Drosophila melanogaster: one gene and its partners. The protein of the gene in region 2 interacts with the protein of the main gene of each other region in a pairwise test. Each region holds a gene or a part of one and is shown on either strand. Other genes may lie near its edges.

Region 1 (12,481 bases), on a different chromosome or scaffold from region 2:
TCTTCAATCGCAAAGTTCGAAGAGCTGACAGAGGGTATGATTTCAGCAACAGTTGCTAGATATATTTTTGACTAAACACCGAACATTTGTAGTGGCACATTGGAGAAAGCTGATTGCTCGAGTGGTGACCTACAAGGAGCGTCCACGGGCAACCACCGCTGTAAGTGCTGCTGCCAAGGAGGGAACCCCGCTGCCCGGAGTGGAACTATTCGATCCAGCCGACAACTCTGAACTAAATATTGCCGATCTGATGATCACCCAGGGCTTTGCTCTGCCCCTGGACGATTCGTATCCAGTGCGGTCACGCTCCTCGACGCCCTCAAGTAACAGCGACTCCACCATTGAGGAGTTGTGCGTCAGCAATCCAGTGACTCCGCTTACGCCCCACTCACCTATGTCGATGTCCATTGATGTTGACAGCATTACGCAGGCGGAGAACGAGCACCTCGCCCAGCAGCTGCAGCATTTGCAGCATAAACTGAACGGAAACGACATAAAAAACATTAATCCGGCTAAACTGACGGCTACAGACCTCGAAAACGGGAATAACAATAATGCCAGCACCACAAATGGTGCTAGCGCGCATTAGGATTTCACATTGTTACTAATTATCCTCGCCTAATTGTTTATAAGATGAAGGCTGGACGAGCAGCTCACTACTTGACGTGTACATAAAAGTATAGCTCTTAAGGAACTTATTGTATAGGTACGAAAGAAAACTGTTTAATTTATCGCCGTGACTGATCGACATATCCTAGATCCTAAAAGCTGACGATGGAACGGCACAGATCCTTAATTGTTTATAGCAACCTTTGCCATGTTACTTATTGTTAGCAAGAACAAGAAAAACATTTGTACATCAACAAAAAATACACAAAAAAGATCACAAACTTATCAAAAGAAATGCATTTTATAAGAATATCAAGCTTAAGTCTATTTTGGTGGCCTGTTTCAGAAATCTGTATTAGAGAAGTATTTCAATATTCTTTGAAAATAAGATTTTCTAGATGACGTTAAGGCATAATTGAAAATGAATATAGTTTCTTCAAATGAAAAGGGCTACAAATATTAAAAGTCGCTTAAAGTATATTAAAAAACCCACCGGGGGGCAGAATTGCAGTCTTGTTTGGGGGATTTACCCCACGCTTAGATTAGGATGTCGTTGGTGGTGTTTATAGCTATGGGGGGCAGGTATATGGCGCGGATCTGACTGCGCAGGCGTACGATTTCCATGTCGTCCCTTTCCATTTCTCTGATGAGCTGGGAGAACTGGACTAATCCCTCGCGGTTTCCAGGAAACCCATGACCCTTAATGACCTCCAGTTGGAGTTGCATCACCAATGGAAAAACCTGCAATGTATTATGTTAAACTATTTGGTTATTTGTTTTGATTTGCTTGGTATTTACGTGCTGCATCATGAGAATCATCTCTTTTCCAGCGGAAGCCTTTGCCTCTGAGAGTTTCTTCGAGTTTTCCGGCTGATTTACACAGCGTATTATGTCCATAAGAATTTGCTTGGCAGTATCACTGTTGAAATTGGTCAAGTAGGACATTATAAACGTTTTAACGGCAGTGTTTGTGACGAATTTAGGCAAAATGCAACAAATTGTAGTAGGTTTTATTTTGTGTTTCCGTTAGAGATGAGTCATACAGCGATTACAACTATCGGACAAACTATCGGTTCGGATTCATAACATTACCAAACCCTTAGTATGGACAAGGAACTGTAATATCATTCAAACAAAAACTTTACGATTAAATAAATTAAGCTGAATTACAAAAAATTAAGAGTAAAAGTTAAATTAATTTCGTTTTAACAGCACCTCTAGAAGCAAAACGTTATCCAACACTTAAGGTCTGGAAAATTGCCAGTACTGAAAAGTGCGGAAATCATGTCACGTCGGAACGTCGACAAAAGACACAAATAATAGGAAAAAGCTTATTTCGCGCAGGCACTCGCATATTCCCAGTAAATGCAAGGCCAATGCAAATGCACCATTAGTACGGGCCACCAAATTGTAAATCAAACCGTCGAGTTCCCAGCGCAAAAACGCCGAGCAAAGCAGCAACAACGAAACGCAGTTTAGGGCCTGCATTTTTGCGATAGTGTGAAAAGTGCGTGTGTGCAAAAGAATACAAAATAAAGGGGGCGCAAAAGAGTCAGTGAAAACAACAACACACAAAAACACAAGACACAAGTACACAGAGAAAAACGCAAACACCCGCACTCGCGCAAACAGACACACACACACACTGTGAAACTCCCAACGTCGAGTCAGCAAATTGTGCCACACACACAAAACGAGGAAAGAGGAAGAAGAGCAGCAGCAGAAAAACATAGGTGCTCCGCTCGCATCCCACATCTCCAAAACTCCATCGATCCGAACTTCCCGACTACCCAACCCAACTCTCCGGAATGAATCGCTCCGACGGATTGGTGCGTCGCTCGGTGAAACCCCGCGAAAACGGTGGGGCGGAGGGTGGGTTGAATGCCAACACGCCGGACGACAACCAGGATGCACTGGACAACCTAAAGGACCAGGAGGACAATATCGACGATGGCGACTCCAAGGAAACACGACTAACGCTCATGGAGGAGGTTCTGCTGCTGGGACTCAAGGACAAGGAGGTGGGTGTGCTCCTTATCTCTTATCTGCTTGGGATGCACTAATTAATTGGTTTCTTTCGCAACATAAGTGCTTCTTCTTCACCTGTTAACCGACGTCTCTCTCTCTCTGTCGCTCTCACGATTTCTCTCTTTCGCAACCTCTTGCTTGGCCCCAAGTGCAACGCAGTCCATCTTCCAGCAGGGGCGTAGTGAAAATTGGATACAGGGGGGTAACTTATCACTTCAGTTATGGGGGCAACAATGTTTATCTGTCCTACAGATAAACATTTTATGCCATGTCTTAGCCACTTCTCTTAGCTTTTCCAGTTTGTTAAGCAATGCACTATGAAATCTTTTGACCAGCCTGCTGACTAATGCGCAATCAGTGAGACTGCCAACACCATTTTCTTAACCACTTTTGTTTTTGCATTAATTAATAGTGTGCTCCATCTGTTAAGGTCTAATCAGCCGTTCATTCTAATCTATAGAACCCATTACTTGCCCTTTGTAATACTTTGATGTACTTCCCAAATAAGTGATGATATATTTATATATAGTATATAATAGGTTTATTTTATGTGTTACACTATCGCGCAATTGCTTCCAGTGCCAAATCAAAAAGATTCTTAGAATTGTTGCCAACGTTCTTAGTTGTTGGAAAGATAGCGCTCTAATACTTCTTCGGTTGGCAGTTGTGGCTATAAATACATACATATCTCTTCGAGAACTTCACTCCGCGCAGCACGGAGAACGGTTTCGTCAAACGAGTTTTCCAATAAGTGGTTAATTTGCATAGGTTTGTAATATTCATAAATCTACGTATAGCGCGGGATGATGTCCGTAAATGCGAACCATCATCCATACGTGACCCATTATGGCGAACAGGCAGATTCGCATTTCTCCATTGAATTCGGTTTTTATATTTCACTTGGCACACAGCTTTATCGCTCAATTGCTGTTCGCTTGTACCACATAGGAATGCACACATGTGCCTTTGTGGCTGGCACCACGTCTATTTGTTTTCATCATTTTGCCCGCAGTGTATTTGTGTGACCACCCACACCTCCATCCCTGCCACCTCCTCTCCCTTCGCATAAGAGGGATACGAGCTGGAAACAGTGGGACGTGTTGCCCGCTTTTGTTTTACATTCCCCTTCCGAGCGCTCTTATCGCGAAGATTTTGTCCATTTGGTTAATTGTTTGAGGAAGTACATACTATCAAGTGCTGCTCTCCTCTGCCTAGCTCTCATCCGTTTCGGGCTTTTCTTATGTCAGTACGTCACTCATTTTCGAAATTATACAAAGTACTTGGCTTCTACCCACACCATCCATTAGGAAAATTTCAATATCTCGAACTGCCGAACTGATAAGCGACGTGTTCTTTGCAAATGATTCACTTTTATACCTTTCGTTCGGAACGATTCCTTATCAATCATCTGAGCGATTGTTATATAAATTATTTTAAAATCGTGAAATGGCATTGAAACGTGGTTGAGGTATCTATCTATACCTTCCAATTATCATAGCTTTTCAAGCGTTAATAACAAGAGTAATTTTTGTAATTGATTTTTTATGTGGTTATAACATAACTCTTCTTGTTCGTTTTTTCATTTATACTAGCTAGATAAGCATTGTATTTTTTAAATTGACAGTTCATACACTTCTGTGGGCAAGGCCTAAACAAACTCAAGTGTTTAATGTTTTAACAACTGAATACTTTCGTCTGGGAGCTTTACGACCCCGGCAACAGGGTAATTATTCATTTCTTTTACGCCCAACACAAGTGAAAAGGCCAAACCATAGACTTGCTCAAATATATTTCAAAACCTTGAAACATGAGACAGTAACCATTTGTTAATGAAGTTTGTACTTACATTTATGTTAGATAGAATTTAATAAAATTTTAAAAAATAAACAAGTAACGCATTCACACATTCTTATTTTTAGATGCCCATCCAGGCCAATCAAATAGCTTGAATCTAATAGCATTTTTAATTACTTTCAGGGCTACACATCTTTCTGGAACGACTGCATATCAAGCGGCTTGCGCGGATGCATTCTCATAGAGCTTGGACTGCGAGGTCGCGTGATGATCGAGAAATCTGGAATGCGGCGACGTGGTCTATGTACAAGGTATGTATAGAAATCTAGTTTCCACATCCTTTCAGAAGCATGCTAACTTCAATTCGCCAACAGGAAATTAATACTGAAATCGGATCAGCAGACGGGAGACGTTCTACTCGATGAGGCACTTAAACACATTAAGGAAACAGATCCCCCGGAGACGGTGCAGAGCTGGATTGAATATCTTAGTGGTGTGTATTTAGGCGCCTGCCATTTCGCCAAGTATGTTTTGTATAACCTATTGTTGTGGCAGGTGAAACCTGGAATCCGTTGAAATTGCGCTACCAACTGAAAAATGTACGCGAACGTCTGGCCAAAAATCTGGTGGAGAAGGGTGTGCTCACGACGGAAAAGCAAAATTTTCTACTCTTCGATATGACGACACATCCGCTGAGCGACAATGTTGTCAAATGTCGCCTGGTGAAGAAGGTGCGTAACTAGACTTGGATATATTCAAGAATTCTAAAACTGAATCCGAAATGTATGACTTCAGATCCAAGATTCTGTGCTCTCCAAGTGGGTCAACGATCCACAGCGCATGGACAAGCGGATGCTGGCGCTTATCTTCCTGGCGCACGCCAGCGATGTGATCGAGAACGCCTTCGCGCCGCTGAATGATGACGACTATGAGGTGGCCATGAAGCGGGTGCGGGAGCTGCTGGATCTCGACTTCGAAGCCGAGTCGGCCAAGCCGAATGCGAACGAAATTCTGTGGGCGGTGTTCATGGCGTTCACGAAATAGACGATCCTCTGATCCTCTACGCTCCTCTCAATAGCACACACACACACACAACACACACCCCAACACAGAAATACAGACCCACATCTGGAATACATTTTGCTGCTTTTGTTTTAGAAACTTTGCTGTGAGTGGAACCGAATCGGGCGATAGGATTTTCTTAAATGGCAACCACCCCAAATATCTGTTTCAGTAATATATATTTTTTAAGCGAGACTATAAAGCAGCCATAATTCCTATTTAAATATACATATGTTTATCAACACTTCAATAATACCAATCAAACGCTCCATTGTCCTTTAATTTTTTCCTGTTCTGTTGAGCATAATAATACATGCCAATGTTTTGCAATCATAATCAGTAAGTTGTGTTCCACGACACATAGAGTTTAGTTGATGATTTCTCTGGCAATGCAAATCAAAATGTATGATGGAAAATTTAAAGCTGCAGCATTGTTTTTGTAATTATATATCTAGCACTAATTGTAAGCGCCAACAAGAAAACTTTGATAAAGTCTGGGCAAGCTGCGTGCGATTGTCTATTGTCAAATATCCTATATATATTTTATCAAAACTTTTCAATTCTATTTTTGATTGTCAAGTATTTTCGAGCCCTTTCCATGTATTCGATTGCGCGTAGAAAATCAGTTCAAAACGTTTCTCGAGCTCCGCAATTTTACCTTAGTACGTTCGACCTTAAGTATGCACCCACCCACATGAACAGACAGACATGCAGACAATTTGACACGGAGCGACATTCAATCTAGGCAATGTTTTAATTTAAATTGTTATTGAATTTCGGGAACATTGAAGTTGAAAAACCTTTTCTAACTGCTAAAAGAAAAATAAAGAACGACAAGAAGTGGACAGCAAGAAAAGAAAAATTATGTAAATGTAAACTGTGCACGTCAAATAATACTAATTCTTAGATATTTAAAGGCCTAATAAAATACAAATATAAAATATATAACTGACGCAAAATTGAAAGTTTATTGCAATTTCGGTTGTACCCCTCCATAAATCAGAGGAAAAATATAAAACATTTAATGAAAAATGGGTGATGAGTTTTAATAAAAGGGGGAAAGCAAAAGTGGACAATCGTCGGAGGAGAAATAGGATTCTTTCCGGTGTGACGACCAATCCGATTTAACTTATCTACTTGAAAGCATAGCCCAATTTTTGATTCGCTTTTTAATACAGTTTTTATTCCGTTTTTCATTCTCAATAAATGTGTTTTTGTTTTGCAGTGTTTGCATTTCTTTCGATAGTTGAAGGGGCAATATACCATATAAGTCGAGTAATTCTCACACGAAACATTTAGGTTATAATATAATAATCTTTCAATGACATAAAGTATGATAAAAAGCAGGGCGCAGCGCACAAATTATTGCAAAAATACATTAGGCCAAAAAGGATGTGAACAAAGAAGTGCTCTTATACTATCCGTTAAATCAACTAGCAGTTTTCAACTGTGGAAAATTTGCAAGTAATTTGTAATTACAATTAAACATATTCATGGAATTTTATAAGAGAATAATTTTTTTCTAATTTTGCAGATAAGCAGTTGCCTCGTTTAACAAATGTTTCGTTTCTAGCGCAGCCGATCAAAAAAAATACATACAAATATATATATATAAAGTAAAACAAAGCAAAATATGAAAACTTTAATAAAATTAATGGAAGAATTGATACGCTCGAAATGATAGCCATTAATTAATATATATGTATATGTATTTTGATGTAAATATAATTGAAGTTCCAACAGCTTTCAGCGCCAGTTTCTGCTTCTGATCCTAAACCCTTTGCATTTCTTATTTTCCGAGGCGACTGCGCATGGACGACAGACGACGCATCCGAGCCCTGTTTTGGGAATAACTGTCCGCCCATCGCTGCTCGGGCTTGTATGTGCCGGAGTAGCCGGCGTGCTAACTCAGCAGATCCTTAATCTCCTTGTGCATGTGACACAGGAAATCCACGTAGCTGGCGGAACCGTCTGTACCGCGGTCCTCCACGAGGAAGTGTCGGAACACGCTCTCCAGTTTGTCGTTCTGCCGCAACCAAGTTATCTGAAGAAAAGATTAAGATCGTTACACATTTCCACGAAGGCAAAGATTTGATCACTGCAAATACGCACCCTCATGTATCGCGAGCGCTCCTTCATGATCTGCTCTAGGATGCCGTGTATGCGCTTGGCCAGCGGCGTTTCTGGAACAATGTTAAACCGCTCCAAAGCTATTTGCTGAAGACCCTGAACGCCGAACACGGACTGCACAAAATCAGGCGACAATGCCTGGCCCAGCCAGACGAAGAGGTGGACTCCATTCTCCAGGATGTAGGCGCCATCCTCTTGCGTCTTTTCGTGCGTGCAGCGAACGGGAGTCGGCAGATCTGTCTCCTCGGGTACAACGTTGTGGATGGGAATGAAACGGGGATACAGGTAGCTGACGGATTGGTTTAAGTCCATCGACAGAATAAACTGGATAACATAAGATCGATCGTCTAGCGTCATGTCCGAACCGCCGGAAATAGCATCGTTCTTGAGCAAACACGAGGCATACAGTGGCAGCAGCTTCAGGCACTCGGGAAGAATCAACTGGCCGGCGGAGGTCGGCGAGGTGCAGTGCTTGCGATAGCAGGCCAGGATTTGCGCCGATCGATGGATTAGGTTGTCTTTCACCTGCTTGGGTGAATGCTCCATCAACTTGAAGCAGGCCTGCTTGGCGAAGAACAGCATCATCGCGTCCAGGTCGCAGCACTTAAAGACATCCGCAATCGTTGTTGTAACGCGCAGAGCAAGGTTAAGAATTCGCAGACGCCTTTGGCCGCTGCACGAGGTGTACAAGAGTGCGACTTGAAGGTACACGTTCTCTTCTGGTGCCAGCTTGTCGTCATGCTTGATCTCAATGCTTATCGACTTGGTGGCATCTGGAAATCGAAAGGAATATTATTAACATATATAAAACCAAAATGTAGCCGTGATTGCATACCAATACTGGCCAGCTCCACATCAGTTGTATTGGACATGAAGAAGTGACCATAAAACTCCGTGGGTCGAATGCCAGCCGATGTCCGCACCCTCATCACCGCGTCGAAGGCGATCGGTCGCGATACGTTCTTAATGATATCCTGTATTAGTCTCTTGCCATCCACGTCCGCCTGGAAGTAGGTGTACTTGAACACCTCTCCACCAGTCAGCCGAGAAACCTGCCCAATCGTGGCCAAGTCGATGTAGGCGTTGTTAAACACGAATAAGTCCACGGAGCAACCCTGCTGGACGCACTCCTGGCCCAGTGTGTTATATGCAGTGGTTTGTGGAGTGAGTACGGTTTTCTCCTTATCAGTTCCCAGAAGCTTCCGATCATCGCGATTCTTTAGCTTGCCAGGCGCCTCCGCGATGGGTAGCGTTGAGTTAAACACCAGCAGTTTTCCAGCTGCATTCGATGCCTTCAGTGCCTCCAAACCCGCTTGAATGGCAGGGTACAGAATCGTTTCGGTTTCCTTGGTGTCGGCAAACATACGAGGGATCTCTTCCATCAGAGCATCGATTACAGCAGCCGACTCTTCTGGGTGGCACAGGAATCCATCCAGCAGGGGCATGAACATCTCCTGGACATCGCCCACAACCATCATTTGCGGCTGGGCCAGACTGCTCTTGATATTGTAGAAATGCACGGTGCTGTTGTACGTGATGAAGCCCACCCGCACCTTGGATTTGTCTTGACCCTGGTCGACAGGCAAATGCTTGAGTATGTTCTTGATCTGGGAGCAGAGCAGATGAACCAGTCCCGACTTCACGGTGTTGTAGGAGACGTCGATGATGAAGATAAAGGCGGGAACCTCCGGGGGAGTATTGTTCTGCGGCAAAGGGAAATAATTAAAAATCAGTTTAGTGTGTATCTACTCTAAAAATGATTATCATTAAAAACAACCGAGACAAATTTTCATTCTGTGGAAATACATGATCTATTAACAAACATGCCATATGTTCAACATATTTATTGGAATATGTTCAGAAAAGCTGTTCCATTTTCAAAAATAGCTATTTTTAAAAGCACCACATTTTGGTGTCTAGAAATATTATTAGTAGTATTTCCAATATATGTATAACTTACCCGACAGTAATCCTTGGTGGCCAGAAACTCGTAAGTTCCCAGCAGTAACTCAGGTCTTTCATGCTTGTCCACACGCTGTCCAGTGTGATCCAGGTGCTGATAGTAGTTCTGATGAACTGCAAAATAGTTCAACATTTAATTAAGGCATCATTAATTGCGCCCAAGATCGCTTACCTTCCGAAGTTACTTTGCACATCAGGCACTGGAATCGGCGGCCGGCATCCACGAACTGCATGTTGGGCGACATGTACGCCTTACACCTGTTGCAACGAATTGGTCCCATTTCGCCGAAGTTCACAATCGGTGGCTCCATTTCCCCCTCGCCAACTTTGGCCAGCGGCGAGATGTTCAATGTCAGGGGTAGAGCTGTGGTCTTCAAAAGATCACCCGTGTTGGGGATGCAATAGAGCGAGGAGCGCAGGAAGCGGGGTGAAGAGTTGCCTTGGTCGTGAACCACGAATTTGGTGGTCACCAATGGAGGCAGCAATCCTGGCTGGTTGGTCACAAACGGTCCTCCAGACAATCGCTGGTTCTCAATCATCACCTGGATGGGATTGGGCATTTGATCGGGATCAAGGCGTCGTGCCTGCGGAGCCTGTTGATACATATTTCCTGCTCCTGGCATGGGAGGTTGCTAAAATAGTTATAAAGCAATTAGTTAAAACCTTGTTACAAATAATAATCATGACTTACATTAAAGCCAGGACGTCCTGGCTGACCTGGAAAACCGGCACCTGGCTGAGGTGGATATCCTGGTCCTCCTAGTTGCTGTCCCGGTTGTGGCGGATATCCTGGCATCGGCTGCTGACCGGGTTGTGGGGGATAGCCCGGTTGCTGGCCCGGATAACCAGGTTGTGGAGCTCCGAATTGCGGCGGAGCAGCTGCTTGCTGACCTGGAAGCGGTGGAGGTGCTCCAGGGAAGCCTCCGGGAGCCTGACCTGGAAAGCCACCTGAATATCCGCCTTGTTGGGGAGCTCCGTAAGGCGCTCCTGGTTGCGGAGGCAACCCGGGTTGGGATAGTGGTGGCAGTCCAGGCTGCTGTGGGGGAAATCCCGGCTGCTGCTGTGGTATCCCTGGCTGCTGCAATGGCGGGATTCCCTGCTGCTGCTGAGGTGGCAATCCGGGTTGCGTGTAAGTTGGAGGAGTGGCTCCAGGAGGTAGCTGGGGTTGACCCGGTCGTGAGCTCGGTACTCCATACGGACTTGGGGCAGGCTGGGATGTGGGAATCTGACCGGAAAAGGGTGGCTGTCCGGGAAGTGGCGGTTGTCCGGGTAGAGGCGGCTGAGAAGTAGATCCAGCTGCTGGAATCGGAGGCTGACCAGGTGCTGCTCCCGGCGTTGCCGCTTTCGGTGGCGGCATGTGCGGCAATCCCGCCAAAGTGGCGCTGTTCAAGCTCATCTGATTAATCCCACTGGCCACGCTTTGTGGAGTACTGCTGGGCGGTAGGGCTCCGTTGACATAACTTCCAGCTTGCGTCGGTGGTGGAGCACCGAATGCAGCATTGTTGTTGTTGGTCGGAGGAGGTGCTGCATTAGAGTTAAACTGATTGAAACCGGTTGGCGGTGGTGCCGCAGCAGCGGGAGCTCCTTGGGGGAGTGGTGGCTTCAGGGGATTGGCCCCACCGACACCGCCACCCACACTCAAACCTCCCATCGACGTGGCCAACTGCAAGAGAGAATGTTTTTTTTTTTTTTTTATTAATTTCACTTCATTTTTCTTATCTACAAGCTCAGCTTCACTCTTCTATTATGAAATCACGGATGACCTCTTTTACTGAATGAAGTGCTCGCAGCCGAAATTTCTAAACTTAAAAATACTGTCTTGGTTTAGGTATTCCTGTGCGTCATTGAGATACTTCCCATTGAATATCTGTATATCAAGGTGGCCAATTGGTTCAAAAGAGTAACGTAATTCTGCAATGCTTTTCAGATTCTAACCCTATTCTTATTATCGACTAGCTCAATAGGCTATTGCCAGAATGAAGCTGAAGGGAATACACATATATTTGACGTGTGCAACCGGATTGTCTTCCGATTCTCGTCAAAGCTGCCATGGTTAAGGCTATCTATTCACCTGCTGCTGGTAGTTGCCATTGAGGTAAGGCTGGGATGCCGCCGACGTTGGTGGTGGTGCTCCGTACTGTGGTTGTTGTTGCTGCTGCTGCGGAGGCAGTTGTTGCTGCGGCGGCTGCTGCTGCGGTAGTTGTTGTTGCTGCGGTGGCCAACCTCCGGAATTCGGAGGAGGAGCCCCAAACTGGGGTTGCTGCTGGAACTGCGTGGGCGGTGGCCCGTACATATTCGGATTCATTTCTGGCCCGGATTAATCACCTGGGTTTTAGCGGAGAGGGTCGACGCTAAGCCAACAAACAACTTTCACGGAAAACGAAGAGAAAACACACACGGATTGGCTCAAAGTTCGCCACGGCGATTTAGCAATTTCGGGGGCTGCTCGGCCTGATTCCTGACCACTGACTCCTCGATTTTGGCCACTCGGTGTTGGCCTCAACTCTCGACGGCCGCGGCGGACGATCGCTGGTTGAAAAACAAGAATAATTTCGAGCTAAACGAACTTCCACGTCAGTTCCCTAATTCGATCTTTTTTGCTCTTTTTGCCTTGCCACGTAAGCTATCGGTAATCGGCAGTGGAAAATCGAATGTCAATCGATTGTGCTCTTTCGGCTGCCATCGCCGAATCGATAATCGTGTTGAACTTAACAGCGCTGCTGTTAGCGAACAGCTGCGAGTTATGTTATGTGTAAGGTGGTGCAATAGAATGCAGTGACGTCATTAAATACGTTGGGTTAAAATAAATAAGTGAATAAGATATAATCAAAGTACATTTAAAATAAATATGTATATTTTCACAATTTTATCAAAATATTCCTTACATTCAGGGGTT
Region 2 (9,584 bases):
CAGTGAGTACTCAATTGTAACTTCATAATTGACGACAAAATGAAGTCAAAAGAAAAGCCATTGAAGTTTATTAAAGTTTCATTCAATAAGGTATAAAAATTAGAAACTGGCAATTCTTAATACATGATTAAAGTGAAAAATAATAATAATCAAAAGACCGCAATAAATCAAACTTCCTTAGAATTTATACTTTTCAAACAAAATGCCGGAAGATCTAACTAAAAAGCGACCAGTAAAATGAATACCCAACAAACTTTCAGTGGTGCACTTACTGTGGCCATTTGCCATTCACAACGAAGCGCTGCTTTCGTTCGGACGAAATGTTTACGTGGTTACCATTATTTTGATGACAACACGGCAGATTGGTTTGGTGCTGGCAAAGACGGGAGTTCGGTTCTGGTATCTGGTACCCAGTAAAAATGAATTAAGCTGCAGCTGAATCGCAGATCGACGAGCCCGCGCCGCACAACTGCGCACACAAGACGACGACGACGACGAAGTCGCGCAGGAAGCATTTTGCTTGTGAGATAATTTGGGAATCAAAGAAAAGAGACCTGCCGCCGCCGCCGTTGCCGATAAAGATTCTCGCGAACCCGGCCAGAAGCGGAGTGGGAATCACGGAATCAGCTGGAGCGCGGCTATAGCCAACCGATAATACCACGTATGCAAACAAAGTGTGCTTTCTTAGTTAGGTGCTTAGATCTCATGTTGGTCTCGTGCTCTTTTGCAGATCCATAACCGGCAAGATGATACCGCTGTCGCACAAGGACCGGAGCAGTCTGGGCTACCGGATCCGGGAGAAGCTCAACAGCTGGAAACGACTCATCTTCTCCGACCGCAACTCCCGGAATCTGTTCCTCTTTCTGCTGCTCAACCTGAGCTTCGCCTTCGTGGAGCTCTTCTACGGCATTGTGACGAACAGTTTGGGTGCGTACTTGGCCACTAATGGCTTTTTATCTTATCCGCAGTTTATAACCTACTTGATGGTTAATCCGCAGGCCTGATCTCCGACTCATTCCACATGTTCTTCGACTGCACTGGCCTCTTGGCGGGACTGGCCGCGTCGGTTATCACCAAGTGGAAGGCCAACGACAAGTTCTCCTACGGCTATGTGCGCGCCGAGGTGCTGGCCGGCTTCGTGAATAGCCTGTTCCTGTTGTTCATAGCCTTCTTCATTCTGTCGGAGGGCGTGGAGCGACTTATCGAACCGCCGGAGGTCAAGCACGAGCGTCTGTTTGTCGTCTCCGTGCTGGGACTGCTGGTGAACCTGGTGGGCATCTATGCCTTCAATCACGGCGGACATGGACACTCGCACGGTGGACACGGACACTCCCACGGTGGTGGTCATGGGCACGGGCACTCGCACGGCCACACGGACGCCGGCAATCACAATCACCAAGCCATCACCTTGGACAATGGTAACTGCAGTTGGAGATTATATCTTATTATATTGACTAGGAATGGGACAATATTCTAATAACCCCTTTTTAAATCCGCCCATTTCTAGGCCATGGACACTCACACGATCACGACAGCCATGGCCACTCGCACGGCGACATGTCGGGCAGCAACTCGCAGATCATGCGCGGCGTCTTCCTGCACATCCTGGCGGACACTTTGGGTTCGGTGGGCGTGATCATCTCGGCGGTGCTGATGCACATGTTCGGCTGGATGATAGCGGACCCCATTTGCTCCATCTTCATAGCCTTGCTGATAGCGCTCAGTGTGCTGAGTCTGATCAAGGAGTCGATCATGATCCTGATGCAGCGACAACCCGCCGACCTGGACCGATCGCTGCCGCAGTGCTATCAGAAAGTCACCGGCCTGGCTGGCGTTTACGCTGTGCAGGAGCCGCACTTCTGGACCCTTTGCTCCGATGTCTATGTGGGCGCACTCAAGCTGGAGGTGTCCAAGAACGTCGATCCCAAGTACGTGGTGACGCACACACGGATGATCTTTGAGGCGGTGGGCGTCAAGCAGATCTACATACAGTTGGATTATGTTTGATGCCAATGGGATCGACCCACCGGTGTCCTTGTACAATGATCTGTATAGTTATCAGCGCATGTTGAATGTTTGTGGGCAGTGCGACTCAAACATTATGAAATTTTAGTATACTACGGCGCCACAATACCCCGCCCATCACTTCCGAATGTCCCCTCCAAGAGCTAAGTAAAAGAAAGTGTTTGATTTTCAGTTGTACTTTCCGAATTTTTGTTAACTTATTAACGTTTGTATTTGTTGAAATGCGTTCGGCATTCATTCCAATTCTATACATACTGAAAGCATGGCATAACTTATGCAATAGTCCATATCGAGGAGCATTAGTGTAATTGTAAGCTAAGCGAAAGATTTTGTGCAAAGGTAAATATAAATATTTAAAGATTTTTTAAAATTCAGCATGAACAAAACCAGAAAATAGCAACTAATTCTGACTGACATTTCCATGGACATTCCGCCGTGCGGTGGAAGTGCATTTGGTGAATCGTTTTTGCCACAGTTTGAAGCATCAAAATTATGAACGAAATAAAATTTAATTTGTTATTAGCATTTTTATACGTAAACCGAACTGAAAGAAGTTTTAATTCCGGTTGGATGGGTACTTATCATTCGTTTTTTGTTGGGTACAAACAAATAACCAATTAACATATTCGATTAGATTAACCTATTTCAATTATTTACAAAAGATTCCCATTGAAAATAATCTGCTATTGAACTGCCCAGTTTACTACTTCTTTACAAAAATATAATTTAATTTGAAAGACCACAAAATAAACCAGAATTGTATAGCTTGTTGTTCTCCTTATTGTTAAAAAGTTTTCTTGGAACAATACTCCATTTCAACAACGCTTCATAAGAATGGAAAGGTACATAAATAGACACATATGTATGTATATTAAAAACCATTAAATTCAACAATGTATGAGAATAGCGAAGAAAAACTTTTAGCTTTTTATCCCGAAAATGGTTCTATTTCAACTAGATTCAAATACTTGAATAAAATATTCTTTACAATTTTAGGAAAATATATTGTGCTTTTCAAAAAAATTGTTTTCGAACATCAGACAATATCGCCGTTCGCCCTAACGAGTGTCCACTGTGCGCATCTCTCACGCGACGAACGGCAACAGGTCGACACGTTTCGCTGAAATGGAAATAGCACCTGGGGCGCAGAGCCCCGCCCTTCAAGCAGATAAAGACGTACGTATTGCTTGACCTGGAATTAGATTATAGAATCCCAAATTCCAGCGAGAGCGGCGCATTTCATTAGCATGGTTGAGGTTAGGGCGAAGCCAACGTGAGAAACTGGGGCAAGTCGAACTGCAACGTGCAGAAAATCGTGTTCCACTGCGCATGACCTCCAAAATGTCCAATGACGGTAACGGTATTGGTGCGGGGCATGTGTACATCACTGTCAAAGGTCAATAACTCCGCGATTGCCCCAAAAAGCAGCAACAACACAAACTAACTGAAGTCTGTGACTCAGACGGTGGTGGCGCCCTCTCGTTCCCACTCACGCCGCCATATGGCGGCGTCTACCTACGCATAACTGCAGATTTGGAAAGAAGTACAGACATGCGGATTCACAGTTGTTTTGTATAGGTGTTCCGTTTAATTTCAGTACTGGTGTTCCCATTTTCGGTCTTCGTTGCTTTTTGATATCTTAGCGAAAATGCATACTAATTTGTAGGTGTTGCTATCAAATTATTATTTTAATTACAATAGGTGGCGCAATTGAATTGTTTAGCTCGCTGTGATTAAACAATAAACATACAATGTCGAATTTATAAGCGCTCCGGTAAAAAGAAATTAGATATAAAATCGCACTGATCGAAGACAGGCATTTTTGTCAGCGTTTTTAAACATAAATTTAAGACTTTCAAAATTGTAACTAAGCATCTGATAAATATGTATATGTGTGTAGAAGGTATGCATGAGTATAGGTTCCGTTTTGTTTGGGGGATTGGGATCCATCTAGCATTTCTCCTCCTCCAGACCGTGCTTGAAGAACATGAGCACGGGCACGCTGTCGCCGTTGATTTCGCGGTATTCCACCAGGGCCACCATGCCGTCGCAGTCCATAGATTCGCCGGTGAAGAACTGCAGCTCCTTGAAGCGGCCAAGGATGTCCTTCATGGCCTTGTTCATGTTGGTCTTGAAGATGTCGACCTGGTCGGGCGACTTCTCCTCCAGCTTGGCCAGCACCTTCTTCATGTAGTCCTTCAGGTAGAGGGTGTACGACTTCTTGTCGCCGAAGGCGAAGCACTCCGTCAGTCGGTGGTTAAGCACAACATCCACGCCAGACTCCGAGGTGATATCAGTGCCCTCGTCGGCCTCCTCGGCGGATGCGTTGGCGCCCTCCAGCTTGATATCGTCACCCTGGCGGGTGATCAGCTTTCCGTACACCTCGTAGATCACATCATCCACCAGCTTCATCTTGTAGGTGTCGGCAAACATCTCGTCGCCGGTGATGATATCCTTGTAGATCTTCATGGTGATTGGCTTGTCGGGAGTCGGAAGATGGCGTCTAAATCGCTGGCGAAAATGCAACTACAACTGCACCGGACCGGGAACACTGCGAAACGACCTGCCACGCGCTCACTCGAACAGCAAAAAGAATGAGCGAGAAAAAATGGCGAAAGAACTGCCAACTCGCTTGGGAGTGGTAACGATTGATCCGGGAGTGGCAGCGCCTACTATACACGTATCGATAATTTCAATGTTTTCTTCGATTTATTGTTAGTTAAGAGCAGGGAATATTAACAAGGCGAACAAAATTATTATAGCTATAATATTGATGTTTCTTACGTATATTTATGGCCATTCTAACTTTTAATAATTTGAGACTGTTTCAGTAAAAAAGATAAATATGTGTAATATTCTCAATTGGAATAATATAAAAGTGGGAACAGAATTAATCATATAAAGTAATAACAATGTTTTACAGTTGATATAAAATCAATACTTTCGAGACTTATTTGTTTTTTACCAACGTAGTGGCATCCCTGTTTGCGGTAATATCGCGCAGTCAGTGTACGGTCCCATCAATACAAGTTCGAGTGAAAAACAGGGAAATGTACGTAATTTCTGTGATGGCACTGCAAAAACCCTGATTTGTGACTGCTTTTTGCAGGTATGCACTCTCCAGTTCTTTGATCCGCTCTCCGGCGCTGCGCCAGGGCCTCCAGATGGCCGCTGCCAGCCGCCCGGTATCGATGAAGGTGGTTTCCGTGGCCGAAACCCAGAAGGACGAGTCGTTCTTCGAGAAGAACGAGCGCTTGGGCAGGGAGCTGTCGCCCCATCTGACCATCTACCAACCGCAGCTGACCTCCATGCTCTCGATCTGTCACCGCGGCACAGGATTGGCCCTGGGTGTGGGTGTTTGGGGTCTGGGATTGGGCGCTCTGATCTCGTCCCACGACATTAGCCACTATGTGACCATGGTGGAGGGCCTCCAGCTGAGTGGCGCCACTCTGACCGCCCTCAAGTTTATCATCGCCTATCCGGCTGGCTATCACACCGCCAATGGTATTAGGCATCTCCTCTGGGACACCGGACGGTTCCTGAAGATCAAGGAGGTTTACTCCACCGGTTACGCAATGGTCGCCACCTCTTTCGTGCTATCCGCTATCTTGGCCCTGCTCTAAGTCCAAGACCCCAGCTAAACCTATTACATTTTAGTGCGAACACTGTGTGAAAATTGTTATATACTAAATACATGTAGTGTGTATATTTATAAAGGTGTTTGTTGTGTTACGCAATCCATTTTGTTGCTTTGGGCGTGCTGCATACGTTTGTTGTGCGCTGCAATTTGCACGGTGTGCGTGTTTTTAACGATTTCGGTGATTTGTAGAGTGAATTCAGTGTGGAGGCCGGTTAAATAGACATCTTGCGGTCCATTGACAGCGAAATCAAGTATACGCCCCGAACAAGCGATTTCCGATAGCAGAATATTACTTACATGCGCCCAAAAGTAGGGAATACTTTTTATAGGCTTAAATTTACATGAAAAATTAAAACCAAATGCAAAAGGGCTCCGAAAATGTATTTATTTAAGAGTAGCTCTTTGGCTTCCCTAACTATAGAAAAGTCTTCTAAAGATCCTTTTACTTCGGAACTGAAGAATCTTTTTATTAGATGGGGGATTCAGTTCATGTACAGAATCTATATAAAATATGTATATCCTTAATTTTGATTTTTAAGAGGTCATTGTTATATGGATAGAAAATGCAGTTCAGTTAACTTTCTTCCATACGTTGTAATTTATTTATTGTGAATTTTGGATTATCATTTGTAAAAGCTGCAAACTGTAGTGCAACGGTTGTGTATGAGGCTAATATGTATCTAACAACTAATATCACAATCGATGTAATGTTATTGAAACTTCTTTTTCGGCAAATTATGAATCTGAAGCTTTCTATTGAATGGATCCATGCTTGCTGCCCTCCACTTCCGTTTCATTTTCACCATCGCTCCCACTTCCGCTGCCGCTTTCCTTTCCGTTTTCCGTCGGAGGCAGTAGCTCAAAGTCACACACCAGGGAAAAGTGATCCGATGGATATTGGAAGCTGGGTGTGCGATTCTTGCCAATTTGCTCTCCGGCCGGAAAGTCTAGACAGTTTTTGATCTGAAATTGGACATAAATATTGTTAAATAAATTGTAACCGCTTGCAACTATTTCAGAAATCCCACCTTGAGGCGATCGGGTGTGTAAAAGACGTAGTCGATGGTGTGACATTCCTCGCCCTCTTCGCGAATTTTCCAGGTGGTGTAGGGTGGCTCGCGTTTCATCGATTTCGCGACGAACTCACCGACATCCGCGTTGGGATGTAGTATCTCCTCGCGGTCTAGCTTCACGTCGGCATAGGCGCTGCCCAAGCGGAGGAGATCACATCCCAAGATCGTGGCATAGATGGGCTCCACCGGTTCGGCATTGAAATCGCCGCAGAGCAGCAGCGGCGTATCTCCGGCAAACTGCTTCACAAACCTAATGAGATCACGTCCCTGTTCGTTCCGTAATTTCGCCAAAAGGGCGCCATGGCGGGCCTTTAAGTGGGTGGTGGCCACACAGAATTCCCGACCACTGGATCGCATACGCAGCCGGGCCGCGATGGCCACCTGGTTGCTCTGCACCCGCCACACTTCCAGGATCCTCGTGTCGTATCCCTGCAGCTGCAGTTTGTCCCTCTTGTAGAAGATGGCACAGCCATCGGGTCCATTGTTCTGCTCGATGTACAGGCACGGGGAATCCGGTTTCGGGAAGAAGATGCCTGCGTAGTTCTGGCTACCCAACACGGTCTGCAGGAACTTGAAGTGGTCTACCTCCTAATTGAATATATCACATTTAAGTGTGACTGTCTTGAAAATGTTGGGTGGGCTGATGTGAACATACTTGCAGACAAATCACATCGGGCTGGTTCTGCAGAATCTCCTGGACAATCAGGTACTTGCGGTGCTCCCAGGTGAGAGCCTCCTCGGGACAGCGCACAAATCCATCGTTGTGCTGCCCGAGAGCTGGGTTTCAGATGAAGAAATCAAGTTAAATGGGATAGAGTTAAGGTATAATAATGCAAATTCTTTAAACATATATAAGCATATAAATATTTTTAGGGACATACTTTGTGATAGGATGTTCCACTGCAGCAATCGAATGTCATCACCCTCGACTGGCGCACTGCAAACTGCACAAATAGATTAGAATATAGCCCTCGGATAAGACAAGGATGCAATCCTACCCCTCGACACGGAATTCAGCTTGAGGCATCGCAGTCCGTCGGCTACATCCTCGTCCGCCAGCAGCGGTTTTAGGAAGCCGCGGGTGAGCAGCGATGGCTGCTCGATGCCACCGCCACGCAGTTGCTGGACATGCTGGAGGAGAGCCGGGGTGCTTAGACCGGAGGGCAGTACCAGGCCATCGTCCTGGGAGTCCACATTGTTGATCTTTGGGGCCGAGTTAAATGAACCCATTCTGGAATAGGATTAGGTGACTCAATTAGTTTACAGCCGTTGAACAATTAACTATATAAAAACTCGACTAAGCGAACGTGTTTAGCACTCACTATTCGATTATATTTTGCTATTTCAAAACACAAAGATTGAGTAAGTCTTTAAATGTGTTTTCTTTTAGCATTTCAATCAAAAACAAATTGATAAAAGCTTCTCGCAACAAACAAACAACTTTCAGCGAATAAACACCAAATAAACAACATCAATTAAATACATATTATTTCACATTTTCTGGTACTCACAAAGCATTGGGTTTTCTATATAGAATTTTTCTCAGTATTATGCTGAAAATGAATAGACTATGACTATGACGCTGACTCGTATAAAATTGTCCCATTTTCACTTTGCTGCAAGGAGTTATTTGAATGGAGTAAGTGTTTTGTGTGCAGGGAAGAAAAATATTAAGAATTGTTAGGTTTTTCAATCAGATTTGATCAATTTAAAGAACACAAAAAAAAAACACAAAAGTGAATAATTTCGAAAATGGGGAATTGGAACAAGGAGTTATTGATAAAGTGCTCAATTATTCAATCTGTCACAATCAACTAGCAAGCTTAAAACCATTCTCAAAAACTCTTTCTCAACTAAAGATATATTTTCTATTCTTTTCAATCATTGTTGCTAGGTAGCTCATAGCAAAAAACTATCTTTTAGTTATGGATGGAATGCATGATTTCACTTTCATTGATCATTGATTCCTTTACCAAATGAATCTGACTTCCTGAAGCTGGACTCAATCACACTAATCTGCGTAGCTCACAGCTAAAACATAGTTTTCATATTGCTGGATAGAACGTTTCTGGTTTTCGTGTGCCTAAGCTTACGGCAATTAGCACATATGCTCCGATTCTAAGAAGATTACCGGACATTAGAGCGGGGTATTAGATGGTGTAGCGGGGGTAAGGGGTGGGAGAATCTGGAACGCCCACGCGACGATAATCCCGCGAAACAAAAACAAAGGCGAAAATGTCGCTCGGTCAATAGCTTCGCAGCTGTTCGTCTGGTTTCCAACGCTCCGCGAGAGAATCGAAACCAGTTCCCGCCGGGGATTGGGATTGAATGGCGAATGGCGACTGGATTTGGGGCTTACGGGCTTCGGCATGTCACCGCAATCAATCACCCGCCGCCGGTGGATCAGTTGTCCCCCCATCCCACATCTCACATCTCACATCTCGGATCGCAGCCCATCTCACCTGGTCAGCATCACTTTTTGCAGATAGGCCTTGCGATCGTTTTTGCAGGGCGCCTTGTTGGCTCGCTTAATGGGAACGGCTGGCTCCATGTCTGCGGCAGGATCAAAGGATTTGGATGTTTTGGATTTCGAATGTTATTTTTTTTTTAACTTATGTGGGATATGTGAGGTGGTGACTTTAGCGATCTTTGGGGGAGCCGGAACGAGGTGCGCTTGCAAGCGACTTTGGCGAAACTGAATGCCAACTGAAGTGCGGGGTTTTATTAGAGAGATCATTCGCGCTGGAGGCAGCGAAAAGATCGCGAGGAGAGCACGCACAAACGGGTATTTCGCATACGAGATGTATCTGCAAGATACAGATACCGATACCGATACAGATACCCCC
Region 3 (9,379 bases), 5.6 Mb from region 2:
TTGCAGGCTATATAAGCTACACACAATACTATCCCTCCATCTTCTGCCCTGATGCCGGCATACCACTGGTCAGGTGGCCCAGCAGAGAGGGAAGCCAGTACCAGCGACTGTCTGGAAAGGACGACAATGGCAGTCGTGGTCCCCACCATCTCGATGGTGGGGATGCGGTGCGGAGACCTCTGCTCGCTGACAAGGAGGAGTCCAAATGGTACTAAAAGCTTTACGTAATATTATTGTGAGTGTTGCTTTCCCGTTTAAGGTTTTTAAACATATTAGACAATTTCTGATTTAAAAATGTGCTGCTGGTTTACCTCGTAATAGGATGGGTAGGGTTTGTTAATAAAAACTAAGCGCGTCAATTGCTAAACGTAAATTTATTGCTCATCTTTAGCAGCAACATCCAAATCTAATTTGCTACATCAAAGTGACCGAAACTAGCCTAAAGGACACGATATGCACACTCAGATTCAAGTCATGGAATTGAAGGCCTGCAGAAGCACCTGTTTTTCGCGCTCCTTTTTCTTAACTACGTCAAGACTGCGTTGTCGCCACGTGCTCTTGCGCAGTTTGATAGGCCGGCTGCCCACATAGCGGCCGTCCATCTCCTTCATGGCCCGTATAAAGTCGGCCGGTTCTCTGAAGCTCACGAAGCCAAATCCCTTGCTCTTGCCCGTGCGCTTGTCCCGCACCACACGGGCCCGCTGAAACGAGGGGAACTTGTTGAAGGTCCGGGTCAGGACCTCGTCGTTGACGTCGTTTCCCAAGTCACCACAAAAGATGCGGAAGTCATCGTCGGGCCAGTCAGCCAGCGAAGTATCCTCCCACACGGTGCCGCCAGCGATACGCACCGTCTTGCGGTCTTTCTTTTTCCGCTCTGTTGTCTGGAAGGATTGCAGCGCCGATGATGCGCGCGCTGCCTTAATGGCCTCCTCTGCAATGGGATTGGGTCCAGACTTTTCCGCCTTGAGCTTCTTCAGCTTCTGCGTTACGTCAAAAGAGACGGCGTTGATGTCGATGGAGGGCGCGGCGGCCACGGTGGGCACGTGCACAGACTGCCGGCACTGATAAAGTTTGGGGGCGCTGCTCAGGACTACGGGAGTGGCAGACATAGCCTTGGAAGAACCACCTCCACTGCCCGTAGGCACGAAGGTGGACATAAACGTGGGTGGAGGCGGCATCGGGGGCGGGGGTACGGTCAGACGCGATCCTCCATTGCCCTGGTGATGCTGCAGCTTGTGCTGCGAGTTTTGGTACGTATTGGCGGCTATGATCGGGCGCACCTGGTTGGGCACGAAGAGATTGCGGGCGGGGGGCTTCGAGATCTCCGCCTCGAAGCGTGAGAGCTCATCCTCGATGTTGCGACGCTTTGTACCCATTTGAAGTGGGGTTTTCTCTTTTAAAAAATCAAATCAAAGCAAGTTTTTACGAAAGTGCTGCAGAAAACTCGGAGTACTAAACAAATATCGATTTCGTTCCCAATCGATTGCACTATTTTTATTTTAAAGGCCTGTTTAGACATGTCCACAGAATCAGGCTCTATTTGCAATATATAACAAATAAAACAGTTATTTTAATATCATAAAACGAAGACATTTAATATGTTTTAACTATTTAAGAAAATAACTGCGACTTTTTACACTTGATTACGACAAGCACCTTTCCGAACGGGCCTTGATATTTTCTGCAATTGTTGACCGTTAAACTAGTAGACGATAGTGTAGTGTGACGGTTCCTCATTAGCTGGCAAATGCCTTATGTTAGTAGGCTAGGAGTGGTATTTCGGCTTCGTCGACACCAGCACTGATTCAACTTCAGAATTACTGTTTTCTTTTAGACGATCTGATAAATAATACTGGAATTAAAATCGCCGGAAAAGCTCTAGCTGTGATAGAAAGTATCCTCAGCAAGCAAAATAAACGCAGAAGCAATATTCCTCATACACACATTTAAAGAAGGAGCACGGGCATACCCACACAAGCGCACAAAAAGTCGAGGGGCGACAGCAAAAACAAAAGTGTGGAAAATCACAAAACCAATAAATTTCTCCATTTATTTCAAAGCACTGGGCCCCAGGAAAATGCCAACCAAGGAGCGCCACATAGCCATGATGGGCTACCGATCAGTGGGTGAGTTTTCCCAGAAAGTTCCGCCAGAAGCACTGACACTGTTGCTGCTGGCACTGGTAATTGCGTAGTATTTCGACAACAGCAAGAACTATGATCAATTGACCATAATAATTACGCTTCGCCCGCAGGCAAATCGTCGCTATGCATACAGTTCGTGGAGGGCCAGTTCGTGGACTCCTATGACCCCACCATTGAGAACAGTAAGTGTCACATCCCATTCCGTGCGGATTTCTTAGAAGCCAGGCTGACTCCATGCTTCGATAGCAGTAGCAATGCGTAATGATCGGTAATTCCCATTCGCAGCCTTCACCAAGATCGAGCGTGTAAAGTCGCAAGACTACATCGTAAAGCTCATCGACACGGCGGGCCAGGACGAGTACAGCATATTCCCGGTGCAGTACAGCATGGATTACCACGGCTACGTCCTGGTGTACTCGATAACCAGCCAAAAGTCTTTTGAGGTGGTGAAGATCATATACGAAAAACTGCTCGACGTAATGGGCAAGAAATAGTAGGCTTCTTCCCCGTGGGTTCCGCTTGAGAGCTAAGCTAATCTTTTTTGCCTTTCAGTGTACCTGTGGTGTTGGTCGGCAACAAGATCGATCTCCACCAGGAACGAACCGTTTCCACGGAGGAAGGCAAGAAGCTGGCCGAGTCCTGGCGAGCTGCATTTCTCGAAACGTCCGCCAAACAGAACGAGGCAAGTACCAAGACGAATCACACTAGCTGAATGCAACTAAGGTACTTCCTTCGCAGTCCGTGGGAGATATATTCCATCAGCTACTGATCCTCATCGAAAACGAGAACGGCAATCCCCAGGAGAAGAGCGGTTGTCTTGTATCGTAGGGCGGCTGAGTAGCTAAAACTACGGCCGAACTGTTGGAAATACGGCAAATCGCTATGGCAATACGAAAATCGATTATCTCTTATCTACACAGTTGGGTCAGCGTGCATGGCGGGGCCGTACCCTTTGTGCGCAGCAGGAAAATCTAAAAATCTAATAGACCTAGTATTCTTAAGACCACACAGCAAGTAACCAATATCAAGCGATCTGAATGCGTCCGCTAAACGCTGCCCAGCAGGTTTTGTGGTTCGCGTCTGGCGCAACACAACAGGTTTAAGTTAGTACGTTTTTTTTACAACAACAATTCAGTTACAAATTTCATATACAAATTCTGCAAACTTTTAGTTTCAATTTAAATATAATTTTTCAAAATACTATTCAAGATTGTATTTTAATGGTCAACATTTTCGATTGTGAAAAATATAGAGGTTGATTTACTAAAGTTACAAGTGCGTCGAGAAGACCTGCCAGTTGCAATTCCAAAAAGCTGGATTTACTTTATCTCGTCCCTATAACTGATTAAATAGGACCAATACCTTAATGATTTCTATAGATTCCCAACCGTTGTGAATTCTCTGGAGACCAAGGTTCAGCAAGTAAAAGAACTGGGAGGATCTCGGTATGGTTCTTAATAAGAGTAATTTCAAACCAAATTACTATTTGGATAAACTGAAAGACTCACCTGGCCACTCTAGCAATATCTGCATCTGTTAGCAAAAAAAGGGGTCTTTAAATTTTAATACCGCTATTTCTTATGTCACAATTGGTCGGACGAATTTGATTGAATTAAGATTTGGCTGGCTTAATATTTCTAAAGACTGATTATAGAAAAAAGACATAGAAATTATTTCGCATTAAACCGATTATGAATAAAAATATTTCTTGTCTTACTTATCTTAAATCTAAAATGCCGGCTAACAGAGCGTTGCGCGGACTAACAGTGCTGTTAACTGTCAGCTGCCATAACCCACCACGAAAATAGCAAATCCACCACAACGCGAGTTCCAATCGGACCGAGAGTTAAATGTTTTCCGATTTTCAAACAGCGAACTTGTGCGTGCGTTAAAATTAAACTCGTTCAGCATTTAAATCGTGTGAGATCTTTGCCTTTTAACGGTAATTTACCAAAGCGAGCGATTCGTATTAAATGTGAATGTTCCCCATGCAGAAGAAAGCGAGCTTGTTTTTCTTCTCTATTTTCTGTATTGCAATTGTTTTTTTGGCTGACTTTGGCTGGGTCTGTGTGTGTATACTTGTGCGCAATGCGTGGGTATTTTCTCAGTTTTTTGTTCTATTTTCAAATTTTATTGCTCTCGCATAATGGTATACATATGTACATCATTATGTTTGACCGTTATTTCGAATCTCCAACACCGCGAGTTTTTTGTGACGGCATTTCCCACTCACGATTTGTAAGCAATCTCTATACATTTGTATGTACATATGTATGTGGATAGGCATGTTTGTACAACTGCACTTACAACCCGCTAATCAGGTGCAATGCACATACATTCATCGATTCCGACTCGGAATCCCAATCGGAATCCGAATGGGTGGGTACTGGCTTTTCTTGTTGCTTCCTTTACGGGCCACAGCCTTTTATCGATTTAATAACAAACGAACGTCAGCGAGTCGTTGGACTCTGCAAAAACCGGCACTCGCACTTGGCGGCGATGTCTGGCCAGGATTAGAGATGGGAGCTTTCAGATGGCAACGGAATAGATGTTATTGACGTACTTACCAAAGCTTACATATGTATGTGCAGATATGTTTGATTTCCAGGTTCATTTAGCTGACTGGCGATAAGTGTTGCACGCGTATCAATATTCATACCCCCTGGTGGTGGTGGTGGATCTACAGAACCAGGCTATGCCCATCTGGGGGATGGGCCCATGGCTGATAAGATATGTCGCGATTTTATAGCGCCCATAAAAGCCGCAGCAAGCCCACAAAACAAGTGAAACCTGCCGATTGTGCTATCAGGGGATTAAACTCACAAAATGAAAAATCAGTCCATACTACATTGTAAATATCGTTGAAGCTCTTATTTGCAAATTAAAACACATTACTCCTTGGCTTTAAAGACACAATCTAAATGGAGTAACAAATTGAAATTATACTTATGTATTTTCCTTACCAACAACTCGCTAGTTTGATGACCTTAACTGACCGCAATTAATAGTATTTTTATTTATCATCAAGCTGGCCTGGGAGTCCCGTTAGAGTGCTTAATTGGCACAGCAAGTGCCAGTGAGGCAACTGCATTTTTCAAATTAAAGAGAACTAGCGACCCACAAAATTCGTACAGCGAATGAGCTTAGCACATTTTCCCCGCATTAATGCGGCTGCATTAATTGCATTATGTACCTGCGAGCCCACTTGTGTGCATTATGTATGTTTAAACACACTCCTTCCGCGTATTTACATATATGTGTGTACATACATACGTATGCATGTAGCCATGCTAAAAGATAGTCTAGATCTAGATCAGTGCAGCCAAGCAGATGGGGTTTTTGTGCTCGGATGTGCGCCGCCAAAAGGGGAAAGTGCTCACTTATCCAATCCCACTGCCGAGCTACCAGTCGCAATTGAACTAATGAAATGTAGCCATCCTCCAACACGTCATGCAGCCCGATAATCATTACCACAACTCAGTTTGCAGACACACACACTTGCGGTAGAAGCAGTAGTTTCTAAATCAAATTTAATATGCTGCAGCTAAAGTACATTCAGAAAAAATCTAGTTTGGACTTCGTTCGCTGTATAATTTTAGTTATTCGACCAAAATGAAAATTGAAACTGAAGCAATGAAAAAGATCATACAAAATCATCATCAATAAATAAAAAGATATTTTATTTAGCAAAGTTCTTTATAATAAGATCAAACTAATATATATTATCCAAAATACAATAAACCTGATGTTGTTACTGATTATGTAATCTGCACACACCGTCAATGAAGTCCCTCTGCCCATACTTGTTTTTTAGAAGCCAATAGTCGTAAGACAAATCACTTTAACCCACATGCATACTTCATCGCACCCGTGGGGTTCTGGCCCATTGACCGCAAGTGTAAGAAACAAGTCACGGGGTGGTACCACAACAAACCTTTACCGCACCGCACTTTTCCTGGCTTGCTCTCTTTTCCCAGTTCGCCAAAGTGCCCGTGTGGCACAATTCGAACTTGGCGTCAATGCCGTTCTGTAGCCACCGCACTGGTGCCACATCCGATCCAATGTGGAAGAGTGTGTGACGAGGGCGCAGTACGTCACTTCGCCACATCGCAACTCGGCACCAACATCAACAGCAAGTACGCAATACATAATGCTTGAGAGGAAGACCGGCCAAGTACGGGGTCAATGCCCGCTGGCCTGGTTGGCTGGTTGACTGCTGACTGGGTTGGCTGGGCTAAAACTGCAGCGCCGACGTCGGAAGATGGCCCTTGTAACGGCTTAGGCGCAACATTAATATTCCGCCTGTTGTGCAGTTACCGCACCACGTCGCATTGGGTTCCGTGTCTGCCGGCGGAACAAAACGGTCTTCGAGTGGGGGAACCAATCTGCTGAAAAGACAAACGAGCTGCAATGACATTTGTGTCGCTGCACTGTGGGTCACAGCATCGTCAACCCTTTCGAACGAACCCAAAACACCCCGCAGCACAAATGCTTACCGATTACGATTACGAGTGCGTGCACTCGAACCCAATGAACACTGTAGCTATATTGTCATTTCTCAGCTCTTGTAGGAGTATTACCAACGTAAAAGCTGAGCTTAAACAAAACTTAGTTGCTAACTAACCTATTGCAATCATCTCAATTGTGCGGTTTCTCGTTCACTTGAATTCAACTTCCATCTTAATAATAAGATATTATGTACCGCATCGAACTGATAATTCTTCGAGTGCATGTGCTTGAGTTCAGTTTGCGCCGCTTAATGCGCGGCACGTGTCTCGAGCCTGTCCTGGAGCGATGCCCCCTATGATGAGTCATAGGCCACAGCCACCACCTAAGGCCCAACAACCCCAAGCGAGTGTATGGATGGAAACACCAGCTCGCGTGTCTGTGTGTGGGAAATGGGGAAACCCTCACCAGTCTAGTCCAACATTCAGATTCACTTACGGAACCCATTCGATTACAGACTATTGCCATGTCGACCAGCCCGAAACCGGTTAAGAAGGTGCCGATTCACTTGCAGAGTGCCCAGAATCGCGTCTACATCAAGAATGGTAAGCTCATTATTCGACCCCGTGGGGAAATAAACCGAGTTAAAACACTGATTCCATTGCAGGCGAGATCGTCAACCATGACAAGTCCTTCAAAGCGGACGTGTACATCGAAGATGGAATTATCAAGTAAGTATTTCGGAAATTACACACTTTAATTTCTCTAGTCCAAGTCCAAGCTACATGTGAAGTGTTAAGTAAAGCTGCAGATTCTGCTTCGACTTAGCGAGAAAGACAAATCTAGACCAAGAATAGACAAAGAATAGACATAGAGCGTTGGCATGACTCACGGAAATTTTACTCAACCACCCTATCCTATTGCCAGGTTTGTGGGTCCCTCCTCGGAAATAACGATACCTGGCGGAGTGCGCACCATCGACGCCAGCGGACTGATGATCATTCCCGGAGGCATCGATCCCCACACCCACATGCAGTTGCCTTTCGGCGGAGCCGTGGCCGTCGACGATTTCTACCATGGAACCAAGGCCGCCGTGGCAGGTGGCACCACCATGATCAGTAAGCAGGATTATCAAAGCGTTTGAAATGTACTCATTTATTCCTGTCCACTTCCCTAGTCGACTTCGTTCTGCCCAACAAACATGAGTCGATGATCGAGGCCTACGACAAGTGGCGCAGCTGGGCCGATCCTAAGGTGAGAAGTGTAGGGTGTATATTGTTTTAAACACAAGCAAATCCAAGTATCAGGGAGTAGTAAGTTAGTAAGCAACTAGGAAATTCTCTATCTAGCTTTGTTACTCATTTATGCTAGCTAAACATACATATAGCTCTATACCATATAAAATATCAAGATTAAAGCTCTTGCTACGGATATGGTTTGTTGAATCACGAGCAATCTATGAGTACATACATTTTGGCATGTAATCAATATAAATATTTATTTAGGTATGCTGCGACTACGGATTGCATGTGGGCATCACCTGGTGGTCGAAGTCGGTGTCTGAGGAGATCGGCATTCTGTGCAAAGAGCTTGGAGTGAACTCCTTCAAAACATTCATGGCCTACAAAGGACTTTATCAGGTAAGTCTGCTATAATGGAACGCATCTGCTTCATAATTAATGGTCTTACTCCCATTTTAGTTGAATGACTCAGACCTTCTGGATGTGTTCGAGCGTATCAGGCACCTAAATGGGGTTGCTATGGTAAAGCTACTTGGACCATTACTAATCTAACTTAAAGCAAGACTAGCAAAAGAAATCATAGGAATTTCCTGTTTAATAGGATACATCCATCAGGCCAAGTCCTTTCTAAAATTCTATTGAAATATATTGTAAACAAATTTGAAAAGATGTACATTGGAAAAAAGTTCCTGATAGGTTCGATTATTGTACTGATGCACTTTTTGTGTGAAGCTAGCTTCTTGCACTTTTTACAACCATCCACATGCATCCATTTGTAGTACAACTTTATTCGCTTCCACAGGTCCACGCGGAGAATGGCGACATCATTGCAAAGAACACGCAGCGCCTTTTGGCCGAGGGCATCAATGGTCCGGAGGGTCACGAGCTGTCGCGGCCCGAGGAGGTCGAGGCCGAGGCGGTGCACCGCGCCTGCGTCCTGGCCCACCAGGTAAGACCACTCCCATGTCGCCAGACAGTGGGGGATGGATGGGAAGAGGGAGGAAGGAGGAGGCGGAGTGTGTCCATGCCGGTTGAGTGCCATTGTGCACTGTGCCGCGCACTGTAATCATGGTTTATTTATTTATGTATGTTATTTATGATTTTGATTTCCTATTATTTCCATTGTGTATGATGCACCCTGTACATATTATGCGGTATGCGGCACTCGATATAACCCCACGAAAAAAACATAACCTAGGCCGATTGTCCCCTGTACGTGGTCCACGTGATGAGCAAGTCGGCGGGCATTGAGCTGGCCAGGGCACGCCACCGCTACCGCGGGCGATACATAATGGGCGAGACCCTGGCCGCGGCCCTGGGCACGGATGCCACCTGTTGCCAGCACTTGGGCTTCGACGCCGAGGCTGCGCATGTGCTCAGCCCGCCCTTGCGGCCCGACAAGACGACCCCCGAGTTCTTGATGAAGCTGCTGGCGAAGTAAGTTCTGCCTGTTGCCTGGGTTCACATTCCGGGCCGGGACCGTAAATGTCAGAGGGAACCATTGTTCCGCAAATTATTCGAGAATGTTGGAAGGCACATTCTTGTATG

The links.
Region 1: the proteins of Tctp (region 2) and sau interact in binary tests that used the Drosophila melanogaster proteins (3 or more experiments, as listed by UniProt).
Region 3: the proteins of Tctp (region 2) and Rheb interact in binary tests that used the Drosophila melanogaster proteins (3 or more experiments, as listed by UniProt).

The regions. Positions count from the first base shown.
Region 1 is NT_033779.5:2,224,652-2,237,132, forward strand, and holds sau (sauron), read left to right. Parts: upstream 1-1,690; 5' UTR 1,691-2,417; coding exon 2,418-2,630; exon of another isoform or gene 2,631-2,654; intron 2,655-2,712; exon of another isoform or gene 2,713-2,953; intron 2,954-4,614; coding exon 4,615-4,742; intron 4,743-4,805; coding exon 4,806-4,924; intron 4,925-4,986; coding exon 4,987-5,162; intron 5,163-5,226; coding exon 5,227-5,475; 3' UTR 5,476-6,448; downstream 6,449-12,481. Other genes in the region: papi, read left to right, coding at 1-34, 93-589; CG15387 (uncharacterized protein), read right to left, coding at 1,147-1,350, 1,408-1,554; Sec24CD (secretory 24CD), read right to left, coding at 7,397-7,537, 7,606-8,396, 8,459-9,326, 9,584-9,699, 9,758-10,217, 10,277-11,248, 11,657-11,890; Tengl3 (testis EndoG-Like 3), read right to left, coding at 12,481-12,481. UniProt on the Drosophila melanogaster protein: Phosphatidylinositol-4-phosphate-binding protein that links Golgi membranes to the cytoskeleton and may participate in the tensile force required for vesicle budding from the Golgi.
Region 2 is NT_033777.3:11,205,291-11,214,874, reverse strand, and holds Tctp (translationally controlled tumor protein), read right to left. Parts: upstream 4,629-9,584; 5' UTR 4,495-4,628; coding exon 3,976-4,494; 3' UTR 2,977-3,975; downstream 1-2,976. Other genes in the region: ZnT86D (zinc transporter 86D), read left to right, coding at 747-927, 999-1,418, 1,508-2,007; SdhC (succinate dehydrogenase, subunit C), read left to right, coding at 5,076-5,077, 5,135-5,648; cu (curled), read right to left, coding at 6,419-6,628, 6,694-7,326, 7,394-7,515, 7,620-7,682, 7,737-7,969. UniProt on the Drosophila melanogaster protein: Involved in calcium binding and microtubule stabilization.
Region 3 is NT_033777.3:5,567,146-5,576,524, forward strand, and holds Rheb (Ras homolog enriched in brain), read left to right. Parts: upstream 1-1,775; 5' UTR 1,776-1,894; exon of another isoform or gene 1,895-2,060; 5' UTR 2,061-2,077; coding exon 2,078-2,126; intron 2,127-2,254; coding exon 2,255-2,326; intron 2,327-2,429; coding exon 2,430-2,637; intron 2,638-2,696; coding exon 2,697-2,826; intron 2,827-2,882; coding exon 2,883-2,972; 3' UTR 2,973-3,346; downstream 3,347-9,379. Other genes in the region: CG12746 (uncharacterized protein), read left to right, coding at 1-215; CG2931 (uncharacterized protein), read right to left, coding at 468-1,376; CRMP (collapsin response mediator protein), read left to right, coding at 7,117-7,195, 7,258-7,321, 7,518-7,708, 7,768-7,844, 8,096-8,230, 8,291-8,353, 8,634-8,780, 9,030-9,268. UniProt on the Drosophila melanogaster protein: Binds GTP and exhibits intrinsic GTPase activity. Activates the protein kinase activity of TORC1, and thereby plays a role in the regulation of apoptosis. Stimulates the phosphorylation of S6K through activation of TORC1 signaling.